2 linked regions of the Schizosaccharomyces pombe genome follow. Changing the gene in region 1 together with any one later gene gives a genetic interaction. Each region holds a gene or a part of one and is shown on either strand. Other genes may lie near its edges.

What was found.
Region 2: of clr4 (region 1) and epe1, changing one suppresses a phenotype caused by changing the other (phenotypic suppression), as found in Schizosaccharomyces pombe (7 studies listed by BioGRID, with this or other methods).

The regions. Positions count from the first base shown.
Region 1 is NC_003423.3:453,238-461,769, forward strand, and holds clr4 (histone lysine H3-K9 methyltransferase (Suv39) Clr4), read right to left. Parts: upstream 5,174-8,532; 5' UTR 4,811-5,173; coding exon 3,338-4,810; 3' UTR 3,076-3,337; coding exon of another isoform or gene 1,765-3,075; 3' UTR 1,708-1,764; coding exon of another isoform or gene 1,431-1,707; 3' UTR 1,361-1,430; coding exon of another isoform or gene 993-1,360; 3' UTR 759-992; downstream 1-758. Other genes in the region: pleckstrin homology domain protein Meu6, read left to right, coding at 993-1,360, 1,431-1,707, 1,765-3,075; SPOM_SPBC428.10 (uncharacterized protein), read left to right, coding at 7,787-8,532. UniProt on the Schizosaccharomyces pombe protein: Histone methyltransferase which contributes to the establishment of heterochromatin by specifically methylating histone H3 to form H3K9me. Part of the Clr4 methyltransferase complex (ClrC).
Region 2 is NC_003421.2:1,430,548-1,438,441, reverse strand, and holds epe1 (Jmjc domain-containing protein Epe1), read left to right. Parts: upstream 1-3,400; 5' UTR 3,401-3,896; coding exon 3,897-6,743; 3' UTR 6,744-7,394; downstream 7,395-7,894. Other genes in the region: histone demethylase Jmj4, read right to left, coding at 43-67; rpl6 (60S ribosomal protein eL6), read right to left, coding at 702-1,289; apn1 (AP endonuclease, minor transcript), read right to left, coding at 1,793-2,519, 2,592-2,846, 3,107-3,170, 3,261-3,264; SPOM_SPCC622.15C (uncharacterized protein), read left to right, coding at 7,663-7,894. UniProt on the Schizosaccharomyces pombe protein: May be a histone demethylase that specifically demethylates 'Lys-36' of histone H3, thereby playing a central role in histone code. Represses transcriptional silencing by negatively affecting heterochromatin stability.

The sequences.
Region 1 (8,532 bases):
AATAAGAAAAATCCCTTTCCGCAGGTAGGGCCTGGTTTATTTTGCTTTCTCGATATTCCTTTTCCAATTTTTACATGGATGGAAAGACCAGCTTTTTAACTTAAAAAAATATTTAAAAAAAATAATTAATCCATAGAGAATAATGTATTATTATGGAACTTTTATATTCTCACACTTTTTCTCCTACAAACTTATGTCGTTATAATGAAACAAATTGCTATAGTTTTCTTGGAAGAAGTGTAAATATTAAAAGGAAATTTCCAATTCAAAGATGTGGAAAGCATTAAAAAACATCCTTCCATTCTATTGAAAATTTTAAACAATTTGAAAATACCTCGAGTTTGGATTTGCTTTTTTGAAACTAGCGTTCGTCAAAAATAATAAGTAAATAAATAAAAATTTAAAATCTCGTAAAATTCTTACCAATTAAAACCTACTTAGTTTTTAAGCAAAACAAATGAGCAGAATAGTTAAACAACATTTAATTTTTATAAAAAAAGGAACTAATGGTGACAATCATGTATAAAGTCAATGAAAAATATGGCTCATCTGTTGTTGTTAAACAGATTTCAACTCAAATGAAAATTTTAGGATGGTAGTCGCAATTAGAAATTAAAGACAAACACTTAATTGTAAAATCTCTCAATACTATATAGTTCATTCAATCGCAGACAGCTCGATTCCAGAAGAATGTATATGTTTTGATACGAATGAGCGAATACAAGATTTAATGGCCGTTGAAGATTTTATTAATAAGAATGAATTAGTAGAAATTTTTTAACATTTAAAAAGTAAATTCTATGTATTTTCCCTTTTCTATTGATGTCCATCGTTTGTTTGTATATTAGGTAGTCGATTTGTTTGTTTACATTCTCGCCAACAATTGGTATTCAAATAACCAGCTTGGCGCAGACTTTTCCTCTACCACAAATATTTACAGCATAAAAAAAATCCAAAATTGAGAGCCTAACTGTTGTTTTCGACTTCTTATCATGTCTTATGAGGGCCGTGAAGAACGACCTGAGCAGATTGCTGAACCTACTTTCGAAAATGTGTCGGAACACAATGAACATGATTCGGGATCTGCTGAGGCCCAGGTGGAGACACTGGAGGTGCCATTGAGCAACGAAACCGACAATGATGATGCCACTGAAAACGCTGTTCCTGCAGAAGTACAAGCACCTGAGGAACCCAAGGAGCCTGAAACAGTCGACAATATCGATCCTGCAGATGATGATCCAAACAGCGTGGCAGCTCCCAAGGTTGAAGAAAAAAAATCCAAGAAGAAAGCCAAGGATGAAAAACCATTGACCTACACCACTGGTGGGTATTTATACTGTCGATCCAACGGACTTATTCCGTAAGTCAAAACAGCATCCATTTATTAAAAATCAAACAATCGATTGAGTAATCTTACTAACCACATGTAGTCATGTCATGAAAAGGTATTTTTATATGCTAGAAGGCCCTATGTCTATGGATTTATTAGACCATTATTATAAAAAACACTTCCATGGTACTTTGCAAGGTAACCCAACGGAACCTTCCTTAGCTTCTGAGCAAATGCACGACTCTGATGCTGATTCCCTCTTCCAGTCTGCTAATGATCACCTTAACCGTATCGCTAAAGCTACTCAAGACTGCCGTGGTTTACTCTTTTACTCCAAATCTCAATCAACTAGTGTCCCAAGCGGAATCATTAATTTGGTAAGAATTCCTAATTCCCCTGATTTTTAGTTTTAACCGTGCTAACTGTATTTTCAGACTGATGCAGTATCCATAGAACCCGGTACTGGAAACAAATTCACCATCAATTTTAACAATGGTAAATCAGAAACACTTGAAGCCCTAGACCCAGAAAGTAAAAATACATGGATTACTGATCTCAAAAATGCCATTGCTAAGAAAAAGGAAACCAAAGATAAAATTAAAGAGCTTCGTGCTTACAATGACACGCTTAAAAGACTCGGCAAGTTAGCAGCTCGTTCAGGTCCTTCAGCAAGTGAAACATTTCGTTATTTCCTTCCAATGCTTTCTAACGGACGGGACGCGAAAAAGTCATCTAGTAAATCTCATGGCGGAAAACAAAACAATTCTGTTGCCAAAGACGGTCTTTTTGACTTTTTTCAAAACATGATTAAGGGGAAAACTCCGCAAAACGATACGGCTAGTCCCATTGATAATGAAACGTCAGCTGACCCGGTTGATACTACTGTTGAAGCACAATCAGTCGAAGTTCCTGAGAATGAAACTAACCAAATTCCCACCACTGAAGAACATTTTCCTGCTACTACGGAAGAAGTGGCTCCCGCATCAGAAGAAAAACCAGCCACAGGTCCGGCAGAAGAATCAACATCAACTCAAAATGTTGAGCAAGCTTCTACTCAAAATGATAACGGAACCCCCATCGGTCAAATAGCAGACGCCATTGAAGAAGATGTTAAAGGTACAGCCCAATCAGTTGAACAAGCTTTCATAGAAGAGACTGATATTGCACTTCCTGATATAGCACTTCCCGATGTTGCGACCCCTACTGCAGACGATCAAGACCCTTCCACTGCAGCTACTAATGAAGAGAGTGTTGTCAGCAATGAAGATAGAACGTCTAAGAAAGCCGGAAAAAAGCATCATCGGCATCATAAGAAGAAAAAAGGAGGCAACAAGAGAGTATTCGGCTTTAAGCTTCACAAGTATGCTAAACCTACCAAAAGTGTTAAAACTTTACAGGCAGATCCTTCCCTTGAATTTGCTAAGGCAGGATTTGAGATATTTCCTTCCAACCTTTCAAAGAAGCTCTCAGGTTTGGTGCAAAAAAAAGTGCATAAGAAGTTTGATAAAGACGGGAGACTAAAAGAAATTTCCCAGTTCTCAAAAACCACAATAAAACCGGAAACTCCCTTAACTCCTACAACAACTCCAACGCCTCGAACAGCTGCACAAGAAGACCCAGCTGAAGAAACAACTGATGCCCTCGCCTCAGCAGAAGGAGAAAACAATCAGATGCCCCAGGTGCTCGAAACAGAAGCAGCTCCTTCTATAGCTTCTGAAGGACGGTCCATTACCGTTAACGCTTAAACGCCCTTTTTACTTCACATGTGCGCAGCAGATGAAAAGAGTTTTTCCATTAACGCTAGGCTTTACAACAATTACTATAATGCTTTCAACAAGTGTAAAAAATATAAGCACCGATATGTTTTACCGATAATTGTTCGGCAAATCCCACAGGTCAGATAATATACATAATCTCGTTGCTTAGAAAATGAATGACCTTTTTCAGTTTAACAGTAATGGAGAAAAACAAATTGTAATTATTGGAGTCAACCAGTAATAAATTAGCTTAACCGAAAAGCCAGCCACGACAATTAGCGGAACCACATTTGCACTGCCGGCGAAGTTTTGAAATTCTATTTTGCTGAGATTTTTGAGATTGAACAGGTGAGAAATCTTTTGCACCAGCGTAATCAAATGTAAGCTCCTCTAGAGGCTGAATGTCTTTGATGGCAAAAAAAGCGAGATCATAAATGGTTCGAAATCCATGGTTCCGAACAGCAGAATAAATAGCTATATTAGGTGAACAGGAGTGGTTAAAAAAACGAGAGACATCTCCATAGTTCTGAGCATCCACTGTATACTCGCTAGCATCATCAAACATGTCTAAATCAAATAAATAGGTAATACCGTCGTCGTCATAATTTTTGTCACGCTTGGCGGCCTCTGCTGAAGTTATGACTTCTCCTAAATAGCAAGTGATAAACGTGCCAGCAGGGGCAAATCGAAGCGAACGTACACCCCATCCTTTTTCTTTTGTTTTAAATATTTCAAGCGGAAGAGTTCTACCACGTTGAACAACGCGATTAGGACACTCCATTGAACAAGAACAAAAAGAGTTGCATTCATATATAACGGCACCCGTATCTGCACGGACCCGCCCCTGTGCATCATAGGCAAAATGAGTTGGCTCATCCAAATCATCTAAACACTCACAACGAGAAGGATTGTTAAGGTCACAACCGCCAAGGGACGAGCAATTGCATCCAGATTGAAAATTTGGATCAGGCGGGATAACACCTTGTGTTAAGCGGTACTGGCTAATGAATTGAAAATCTAAAGATGGACAGGGTTCATCGTCAACTTCATTGACAAGCGTTACTTCGGGTCCTTCAATTTCCCGCAGTTTCTTACGAAATAGCTCTCTCTTTTCGTAAAAACTTAGATGGGTATAAGAGTCAAGTTTGGAAGGGTTTCGCGGTTTTGTGAGAATTGAAGATGTTTTGGGGGATGTAGCTTCTTTAATAGAATTGGAAACTAGTTCTCTTTTTTGAGATTCCTCCTTCACTTCATTTCTCGTCTTCCCCAGCTTCTTTGAATTTGTATGAAGACTATCGTCTAAAATGATACTAGTATCATTCGTCGTCAGAGCGGTGGATTGTTTTCGAGATTGTCTCTTGGTAGTTTGAGAAGAAAAAACCTTTTTATTTTCCTTTTTTACATTCAATTCCCGCGAAAATCTTTGAGAACGAGGCACTGACTTTGAAGTTTGATGTTGGTGCTTTTGTCTACTGTTTGGATGTGGATTGCTCGCATGGTGCGGTGAATCCGAGTCGGAGTTACTTCCCTTTAGTCTCCTCTTCCGCCTTTTCCATTCTGCTAAAACGGCAGAACATCCAGAAAGGTTCTCAGGGGGCTCCCAAGTATCACTTCTAGATGAATAGTTCAACCATCGAATGCGATATAGTTTGACAGCTCCATTACGATCCAATTTTTCGTCCACAATCCTTTCAACTTCATACTCCTCTTGTTTAGGCGACATTCGCAAAACTAATAACCTCTTGTTTGGTGAGATGATTTTTAGCAAACCCTCCAAATGATGCCTGAACGAATTTAAAAAATAAAATAAGGAGAGGGTTTATGTTAATATGACAATTGCTAAAGGACTAAAATAATAGACGACCGCGAACTCAGAATATAAAACTGAATGTTTTTTAGTAATGAGCAATAAATATATAAAGTCGATGTGTTCAATTTCAGAGCAAAATTGAAGCTCTGAAATTTGAAAAAGGTATCAAGTACAAAGTAATTTTAAAGTTATAATATACAAATCAACTTTCAAACAACAATCCAAACTAGCAATGCCAATTCATGTTATAACAGTTTGTATTTCGACCAGGTTGTTGAATCGCACTCCTTTACAGAAGTCAAAATTTAAAGAAACGGAGAATCGCCCCGTAAAGGAAATACGGTGTTAACAACACACTGCTCTAATGAAGAACACGTAACGTATCACTATATGTCATATGTTAGGATATTACTTTAGAGCAGTTTATTGATAAATGCGCAAAACCATTTTCATATTTACATAGACGCTGGCTAATGAAGACTAAAAAGATTATAAATTGAGCTGCAACTGAACTGAGGAATGAACTTCAGTTATAAGCTATATTAGTTATAGGTCACAATGCAATCTAGATAATTTAATACCTATACTCAATTGCTACTTGTAATACCTGTGTATTGTAATACGTTAACAAGGAAAAATTACCGCAGTTCTATGTTATCGTTAAAGCAGATACCAAACTGCGTAGCTGACTTTGTATCAGTGTGCAGCACGGAGTCTAACCCATCTGTGTCTAAATAAGAAAGTTGAGCGTTTTTAAAAAACAATAGTATGTTCAATTGCTCTATAATAATAAAAGAAATGAAACAACAGTAAGATTGTCCATAGAAAAACTTTTTACACAATTAGTCGCATCGCCATTTTTATAATGATTAAAAACTATTATATTTGACTATCGGGTTTTGATTTCGGTACAAAGAATGCCTATAAACAAGCTTCTCGCAAAATTAATAAAGTAAGGAACCAAATACCTTTGCATTCGAGCATTCATTTTTTAATAATGGTTAAACTTGAGCTCATTAGATAAACAAGGTCAATTAAAAAAGATTGAGTCTCCAGCCAACTTTCAGAACGCGATAACCCATAACCCATTCTAGAAGCACATGTTGGTATTTGGTTTTTTCGCTTGTTAATTTTGAATGACAATGGAGAAGTCATGTACTCCATTTCTGGATAAATTTTCTGCAGGCTCTAAAGGTTGATTAACAGTAGCCAATCCAAAATGTTGCTAATTTGGTTCAATTTTGAATTGCAAATCGGTGGTGCCAACATGCCTTAAAAAGTTCCATTTAAATTTAAACTTTGAAAAAATGAATAAAGAAAACAAAAAACCATACATGCTTTGACCCATATCTCTAGTGCTTCTTAATACTCTATGTGAAAGCTCCCTTGATAATTGTCGATCTCAATTAGATGGTGCGATAAATTCACCAGACTACAAACTCAAAATTTGATTGCAGAATACCTACTGTACATTAGATATATTTTTTGAACGAAGCCTTTAATCCTATCCCTTCATACCATAAACAAAAAAACAAAGCCCAATATAACATGCCAGGGATTCAATATTACCAATGATGCCTCTAGTGAATGAGAATGAAATTTCAGATCCATATACTGTGCACAAAAGATTCAACAAATACACTTTGAATGTAACTAATATTGTAGCCACCATACCGGGTTGCGAAATTTTCAATGTGGAATAGGCCATACCGAAGACAAAATCTCTGTATATATTTACGATTTTTCAATTGTATTTCTTGCTTTTAATCTTGCTTTATTATTTATTATTTGAAGTGTGAAAGGACAAGATGTAAATATATTAACAATTGCATATTCGCCTCTTATAGAATTATGACGGAAATTACCTACTTGCCGAACGAATGTGAAAATAAATAAAAGTTCTTTAGCATCTTTGGAAAAAAGAGATTAATTTCGTTTAGTTAAAGCATTACCATATAAACGGCTTTGTACGATGTGCATGAGCAAAGTCCATAGATATCAAACAAATGAGAGTTAACCCGTTCAAAATAAATAGTATCTTTTCAACAAGATTCCTTCTCCAAGTTATTAGAAGAAAAATCTTGACATGTATTTGATAGTCTTTCAATTGAAAAAAAAAATATATATATATACGCAGAAAACAGGGGTTTTCGTTATTATTTACATGCGAATTAGTTTTTATTTTTAACTGATATCGTATTTTATAAATAACACATGTATTTTTATATAATTTTATAAGATTTCCGCCAACATACGCTATATACTTTCTTTTGTTTATAACGGAGCGAACGAGTAGTTCTACGACCAAATCGGTTTTGACAGTGCGTGTAAAATTACACAGCTGCTTTTCCAAGAATTTATGAGAGAATTTCTCGTCTAAGATACAATTCGGAGAAATCGAGGACTGGAAAACCAGTCGCAGTTTCCCGTTTTTTTAGGATCAGAAAACAAAAGAAGTATCAGGTCTTGTTCCCAATGAAGAGAAATTGATAAAATATAAATTGAATTACAAATAATTGTTTAATTAGGATTGAGAAGCAGCACCGTTTATATGCATATTTGAGCCAATTCAAGCCTTTTAAATTAAGGATGTTGGCTTCAATTTCACTAAGCGATTTTGGCGCATTCCAGCGTTCGTATCCTAAACTAGCCCATGAGGTCATGGATACGATGTATAGGTTGTAATGAAATACATAGCTTTTCCATTTACCAACTCCATCGTGGAGGGACGGATTTGGGAAATTGGAAGAATCTACTTTTGAAGAATATATAATTACAAAATTTTGGACAACTACCATTACTTTGTAGGCCAATTGTCACGTTGACTTGTTTTGTGAGACGTAAACAACATTCGGAAATAAGGCGCGCGCGTAAGGTTGGTTGAACACAATGAAAAGAAAATCTTCACATTATAATGATGCGCATGCATCTCATATAAATGAAGATATCGAGGAATCTTACAAGGATTTGTACAACAATTTAAGCCCAAGCTCGACTATTTTGCTGCTTTTGTATGCGCGATGGTTCCCTGCAACACTGATACATTTCTTGGACAAATACTACACTTCTACGCCCATATTGATTGATATGATTCACAAGCAATGCATTTATAACCCTCCGAAAGGCTCGCTACATGTACAACTTGAATATTACCTCGCTTTCCTGAATAGAATGGCTCTCATCTTTGACAGATTTCCTGATCTGTTTCCCACTGAAATTTCCAAAGTTAAATTTTTTACAAAGGATTTCTCCAAGAAGGATAAATTAACTGCTTTGGATACCTATAGGTCGTTCCCGGGTTCTACTTGGAAAACGATCGTGACTTTTGCTACACAAGAAGTTTTCTATCTGCCGGAAGGACTGGAGCCTTTAAAAAGAGATTTTTCTTCTATGGATAAGCTTAAATTGATTGGAAAAATCACATATAAACTTAGGTTGAAGGGGGATACAGCCCTGAAATTTGCCTATCTTCACGCTCCCTCTGACGTAAGAGACAAGGTTTTCGACGATGCGTTTTGGCAAGAGATTATAACTCCCAAAGCCTCCTTGGAACAGCAATCAAATAATATTCCTACGGGAATCCAGGATTCGAGCAAGTATACTGTTAACGGACCTACGGAAAGAGACAACAAGTC
Region 2 (7,894 bases), on another chromosome or scaffold:
TGCTTTCGTTAGCTCAGAGCAATGAGTCCTAATTTCTCTTACCTTTATAGGTTGATAATTCACTCATAATAAGTTGCTATCGCTCTGCTAACGACCATTTGAGAAATTTGCCTTTTATATGGCCGCTCAAAACGGAAATTGCTTTTCTATTGAAAATTGATGATCACAAATATTTATTTTGGGATAGTATTAATGCACTAAAAGAAAGTTATGTGCATACAAGAAAATTTAGCACAGACTTGAACTTGAATTGGATACAAGTTGTGAATGAAATAACGGCGTCTACAACATTTCCAAATGTAACGAAAAGCGATAACAAAGCTAAATCGCTAAACATATAGCTAACTACATTTCATATATATACTGGGCAACCAACAAACCACAGTTATATAGTTATTATACACCAAATTACATATACAAGAATCAGATCTGCTTCAGCGAAATGATATCAAATGCATACATTATACTACACTCTGAAGTCAATATGCTTTAACAATCAAAAAAATATGTTCAGTAACTACTTGCCAATTTTATAAAAATTTTAGATACATATGTGCAGTGCACTGCTCTTCTACTTAGCGCATGCATAACCAACTCGATGGAATCTTACAAGGGCCGGAAATGCCAAAGTTTCAATAAATAAGAAGTCCCGCAAGTGCCAACACAAAGATAGATTTACCTATTTACCTAAGGTTATGAATCTAAAACTTCATCAAGTGAGGACGGTCACCGTTAGACAAAGCGAAGGAAGCAGCGAGGTATTCCTTCATATTAGGGATAGCCTTGATAGCAGGGAGAAGCTTAGCATCAACGGCCTTTTGGTCAGCAATACGCTCAGCGGGAAGAGCGTTCTTGGGAGCGTTCTCGGCGAAGAAAGCTTCATCCTTCTTGACGGGTCCGCTACGCTTTTGCTTGGCAAAGTAAGCCTTGGTGAACTTCTCAACAGAGACACCGGAGACATCGATCTTGGGGGCAGAGGTAGCAATCACATAACGGTGGTTGACACGACGGATAGGGACACCGTTGACCTTGTAAGGGCCAGTAACGACAAGAGTGTCCTCCAATTGACTGAGGACAACAACACGCTTACCACGGAAGCGTCCAGCCAACAAAATGCAAACAGTTCCGGGTGCTAAAGAAGCACGGAGCTTGGTAGGGCGTACAGCCTTACGAGCCTTCTTGGGGACGTTTTCACGGTAGGCAGGATAGTATTTAGCGGCGGCCTCGCCGGCAGGCAACACCATACGTTCTCCGCCGTTCTTAGCTCCGTTGACCTTGACTGTAGACATCTTTTTATGCTTGGAGTTTTTGGGTGGTGTAGAGATTCTTCTAACATAAAATGAGAAATTTAGTGACTCCCAAAAAGAACAGTCACATGTTGTGTTAGCACTTTAGGGTAGGGCAAGGACGAAAGTTAGAGCAGTCCAGCACTGAACAGCGTTGCTCATGGGAAATGGTAAAATGATAAAATTATAAGTAATGTATCGTTATATGATTAAAAATTCCGTATTCCAGTGTTCGAAGAATATGGATATAATTGAAACAAAAAGATGCCTTTAAAGTAGTCAATTGAGCCGAAGTTGCTTTCGATAATAATTCCTGAATCAAATGATAAATACTGCAAAATAGGCAGTGTAAAAATGAAGAAACTGAGAACGTCATTTGTGCCAAAACATAATATAGTGGATAAAGGCAATAATAAAATGCTGGGAATGCAATTCATGAATCAAATTTTAGGATTTTTAAATCGTACCCTTGATTTATCTTTCATTAAATTGCATGTTACATGAATTTATTCATCCAAGCTCTTAACTTCTGCATTTCCAAGCTTTTGCTTTTTTCTGAGTAACAAAGTAGTTTGATCGCCATCCTTGCTTTTTTTCTTTCTATCCTTCTTTGCTTCTTTTTTTTCAAATTTATTCAAATGCTCCTTCCGGGATGCTGCTCCTAAATTGGACAAACGCGCTGATTCTTTCATTAATTCGACATCATCTGATGATTTACCTACCATAAATCGTAAAAGTTCAACCTCTTTCTTCCATTGCTCTGGAGATTTGGCAGGAGTCTCCAAAACTAATGGGATCCCATCCCACCGTGAATCATTCATTATTAGTCGAAAAGGCTCTAATCCTAAAAATCCTAAACCAATGTTTTCATGCAAATCACGATTGCTACCAAGAGGAGCCTTGGAATCATTTAAGTGCCATCCAGACACGTATTTGGCTCCAACCTTTTCGTCAAACTCGTCAATAACTTTTTTGTAGCTCTCTTCGGTGCGAATATCGTAGCCTGCAGCAAATGTATGACAGGTGTCCAAGCAAACCCTCCAACGGTCTAAGTTCTTAATCTTTGACTTTAAAGCTGCAAAGTCATCAAAGGTCCCTCCCAGACAATTTCCCTGACCAGCCATGTTCTCTGTAACTATAATAACGCTTTTGGTCTCTTCGTGCGCACGATTGATGCATTCTGCTAAGTTGTTGATTCCTTCTTCCTTTGTACACGAAGCAGTACTACCAGGACTACAAAGATCAAAAGAGTTAGTACGTTTTGGGTAAAATATAAGTAAATAGAGCACACTATGAATGACATACTGAAAATTGTACAAACCAACACCAAGTCTTTCACAGCGCTTCAGGTCGTCGACAAAGCAATTGAATGCCTGTTCTCTTTTCTGCTCATCGGCATTGGCCATGTTAATCAGATAGCTTCCATGGACAAGAACCTGTTTGCTCGCATCGAATTTCATTTCGGATGCTGTCTCCAAGAATTTTTGAGCAACATCCTCCGATAAATCCGGAGAGGTCCATTTTCTTTGTGATTTTACAAAAAAAGCACAACTATTGGCACTGATATAAAATTTCGTTAGCAGATAAGCTTTGTTTATTGCACACATCAGTCACCTCCTTCAAAATTATGTGAGAAAAGTTTATAGCATAAGCTATGGTTTTTGAAAACGACAAATAGACGTACCATCAGCAAATCCTCTAACAATTTGCTAATAACTACTAGTGAATCAGTTTGCAAGTCGCAATAATGCACGATTACGCCAAGCCTAACGTACACTTTCTCAACATATTCAAGCTGATTGCTTTAAGAATATACTTACTTGATATTTTTCATATTGATTAGAGCGTTAAAAACGCCCCCAGCTGCAGAAATATGCGCGCCTACTAATTTTCATGCAACCTCCATAGCTTCCTCAGAATCCTCTTGTTTAAGGTCCTTTTCAGGAGAACTTTCTTTAATTTCTTCTTCTTGACTCATCAAGTATGCTTTTGAAGAAATGTTTAGAAAGACGCAACTATATACCTAGCAAGTGTGTAAATACTCGGTTTAAGTAACAAAAAGTAACATTTTCCTAACACTTAGACCTAGCGTCTGTAATTGTAATATCGCGTGCGTAGTACCAACATTTAATTACTATTCAAAAATTCTGGGTAGTTTGTAACTCAACTCTACGGAAGCTTTAGAATTGGCTCATCTTTCCAAAGCTGCACAATAGAAGTGCGCTTGTGCTAAATCGTATAAAAGAGACACGCAAGCTTATGGAGTGGACGTTTTGAAGTCTATGGATTACTGCTTATTTATAATTGATATTATTTCGTTTCTTGAACAAAGCTTCAGGTTGAATTAGAGGATCATCATTATTGTTGACTGAGAGTTCGGTTTTATTGGCATTTTGAAGAAAAAGTTAGACTCAAATCTAACGAGTTTGCCTGCTTTTTTTTGGATACTTATCATTTCTGTTATTATATGTAATGCTATATTACTAGTCACTAGCAGTTTTAAACTCATTTTTTTTTTCAAAGAACACAGCCATAGAATCTCCTTAGTTTGCATCGCAATTTTATAGTTACCTTTTTGCTAGTAAGCAATTAATTTTTGGGACTTTTAAGATGGATTCCTGGCTTGAATACGATGACATTATAAATCAAGACATTGATATTCCTAGCAATGACCTGAGTGGTTCAGGCACTCTCTGCGTTGGTGTACACTCTTCCCTTTTAGAAAACTCTTTAAACTCAATAGACTCGTTTATTTCTTCGAAAGAGGAAATTTCATGGTGCGGAAACCAGTCAACTCCTATTGCGACAAAATCACATTTATCCTGCATAAACCCTCAATACGTCAATCCTTTTGATACTTCACCTGTCTCGGTAGATACAGAATTTCAGGATACATATTTGCTTGATGCACCTTCCTTTGCACAGCCTCACTTCAGTGAGAGACAATCTGTAGACAAAACAAGATCACGATGCCTTAGTCGTAATCGTCGTCGAAAAAGACATCCCAATCTTCATAAAAACCATCAAAGATTACTTGGCATGTCTTTTCCACAAGACGGCTTTCGTCGTATGCCTGCCGAAAGTGTAAATTTTAGTTATTTTAGGGATACTGGATTTAATGAACCCACAATATTTCCTTCGTCTGATACACAAAATACGCGGCAACTAAATCTGAGTAAAATCGCTACTTTAATTGGTTATGATTGTCCGCTCGCCCTTGTGGATGTTGTGACACAAAAACAAATTCCAAATAAAATGGACATGGAAAGTTGGGTAAAGTACATGAGCCTCGAGCCCAGCAAACGTGGTCGAATATACGACGTCTTGAGCTTAGAGGTTTCTACAACAAAACTTGCCTATTACGTCCGGAAGCCTAACATCGTTCGTGATCTCGATTTGGTTAATACTGTCTGGCCTCCTGGTTCCTTTGCGTTGGGTGAGTATCCCCATGTTGATACTTACTGCTTAATGTCAGCGGAAAACTCGTATACTGAATTCCATATTGAATTTGGTGGATCCTCAGCTTACTACAATATTCTAGACGGATGTAAGATATTTTACCTTATTCCAGGAACATCTAAGAATTGGGAAGCTTATACAGCCTGGCTAACATCTTCAAATGACAGCGACAAAAAGTTTCTACCCAATATGGTTGATGTATGCTACTGCGTCGAAGTTCATTCGCAGCAAACAATTTTGGTTCCTTCAGGATGGATTTATGCCGTTGTGACACCTTGTGATACAATTTCTATTGCTGGTAATTTCTTAACGTTCCTTCATATCTATCCCCAGTTGTCAATCTACAATCTTGAGCTACAATTGGGAATTGAAAAAGAGTATCAGTATCCATATTTCGAGAGCATAATGTGGTACACAGCTATACATTTTTACCTTGCGTTCCCAGATAATTCGAGTCGTGATGGAATTGATGATATAATTGCTGAATATGAAACTGGTAGATTGTTTGATATCAATGCGTTTACAGAACAAGAATTGGATGGATTTGAAGAATTGCTTAATTATCTTTATATTCGTGCGCAGATTTTACGAGATTGCGATATAATTATAGACATTTATAATGAACCCGTAAAAATATCAAAAAATAATGGCTATAACTCAGCATATACGATGGTACCTCCGGATTTGGATGAGATTTGTGTTGACTTTGTACAAAAGTTTGGCGCCTGGATTACTTACCATCATAGACGTAGCGCTAAACACCCATCTTGCAATTGTTTTTCACACCTACAAACGAAGCTTATAGATTCGGGGCCTAAACCTGCAAATAACTCTTATCAGCATCAGTCTAATTTCATTGGCGTTGTGATTTCAACTAATCATAATATCATTAAGAAATGTCAAGAATCTCAAATACAAACAGGAAAGAATAATTGCTCTTTTCAGTTAGTAAAAAAGAGGATTAAGAGTACTAAAAAGGCACCCAGCTGGCGCTCGATAATTAAGGCTTTCAAGAAGCGAGAAAATACTAGGTGTAATTTTCTGTCAAGTTTACATGCAACTACGTTTCGTGAGGACATTGTCGTTCGTCCTAAAATCAAGTCATTCGTTCTCGAACAGTTGATCTTTCAGGCGTTGTTTTCATTTGCTATCAATTGGACACCAAGCTTCTTTTTGAATCACTCCAATTTTGAGAATATTGCGTTGAGTAAAGAAACGTTTAACTTTGGAGGTGAAGCCAATTGCGAAAATACGGACACCACATTATTTACTACTTGGGGCGATCAAGGTTTTAGACCAAGTGATTCTATTTGCTATAACGACTTTAATTTATTGGAAACGGCGAATTCTGATGCTGAAGCTTCAATACATGAACTCGAACTTCAACCGCTGAATGCAGTGAATGAAAGAGAGGTTGATATATCGCAAACCGACATGACTCCATCCACGGCGTTAGACACTAGGGTAGACACTAGGGTAGACTCTTTACCAGAATTTTCAAACTTGATACTTTCGCCCTCAAGCAATGACGACAGTTTTCAACTTGACGACTTGTTGTCCCCCTCTTCATCAAATCTCAAACAACAGATTCAAAAAGTCGTTCCTCAAAATTCCCTAGAATTTTCTGTTGGTGAGAAAGAAAAAAAGGCAGCCGAATATAGCCTGCTTCATACGTTTTCTTACAAACGACTCTCTATGGAAAATGAGAAACCAGATACTACAAAGGTACCTTTAAAATATAACATACAACATGAAGAAATGAAAGCGTATCGAAGAAAAAATGATTTAGAATATATAGATCAGCACTTTGCAAGCTCTAAGAGTGGAATTTCGAATGGGAGGAATAATAATAAAGAGGTCAACTTAACAAAAGCTGAAAATGTCGGCATCAAAAAACGTCGAATCATGAAAAATGAAAATAACATTTATGATTTTGAAGATCACTCTCCTGTTAGGGAAAAATGGGGGCACAGGCTTCGGTCCAGAGGTGCTAGTTAAAGTACCTCGGCACTTTTTATTTCCTTCGGCTACCATTGAATATTTATCCCCACGTGCTTATGATTCTTGAGTAGTTCACATTTTATGAGTATATCATGAAGGTTTCATCAAATAATTAAGACTCTTTTTTTTTCTATTAATTGGGTTTTTATTTATAAAACGATTAAGAGCATCAATCCACTTTGACTCGTTGTTTGCTTTTAAACTACGATCGTCCTAAAATGATTTATGGACTACATAACACACAATGGAGTCATTGAAAGCGTGGACATCCCCATGAAGCGGCGCAGGGACACTCAACCTGAACGGATTGTATCAAAGCCGGATACTACAACACACTTTTTAATATGAATGTCTCCTATTGGCGTCGTCTCGTCTACTTTATCCATCTCAGCTGATGCAACGACGCTTCAGGGTTTTCCATCCAAATCCCAATTTACCAGCCTTACTTTTTTATAATGTGCTAATATTGTTGAATTGTGCTCAAATATGTACATATACTACCCGATATAATGATTCTATAAATACTCTTTTTCTGTTTTTTTTTTTGGAACTCATATAAATAAATAATCCGGCGATCTAACTACAAGCCACGTTTCTATTAATCTAATCGGTCGTTTCATCTTTGAATATTATTTAATTAATTTATTTTCCTATTTTAATTGTTAATACTACTAGAAACAATGGTAATATTCTAGATTTCTATTATCTTAAGATTTCCGCATTGCAACCTGCTAAGTAATCTTATCAATGCGTTAGAACGCGTAATGTTATTTTACATTTTACGGTCCGCAAGCTAAAGCATGCACTATGTATTCATTGCCATACGCGAGCAATGTACCCGGCCTTAACAATACAGTAGACGGATATTGGAATTCAAGCGGAATTGAATATTTCTGCTTTGAATTGACTTAAAATAATGAATGAAGATGAAACTTCAATTTTAAATAAGAAAATGGAGAAAATTGAGGTAGAAATGGCGGAATTTGAACGATTGGGCGCTGAAAGAGAGAAGGAGGCGGTCGAAAGAATTGTTCAAGAGGAAAATCAAAATCCTGAAGTTCCATCGAACGATGACGCGTCCACAGATATTAAATCGCGAAAAGAAGGAAATATGAAAGTCACCGCCGAGGAAATTGGTTTGGAGACTG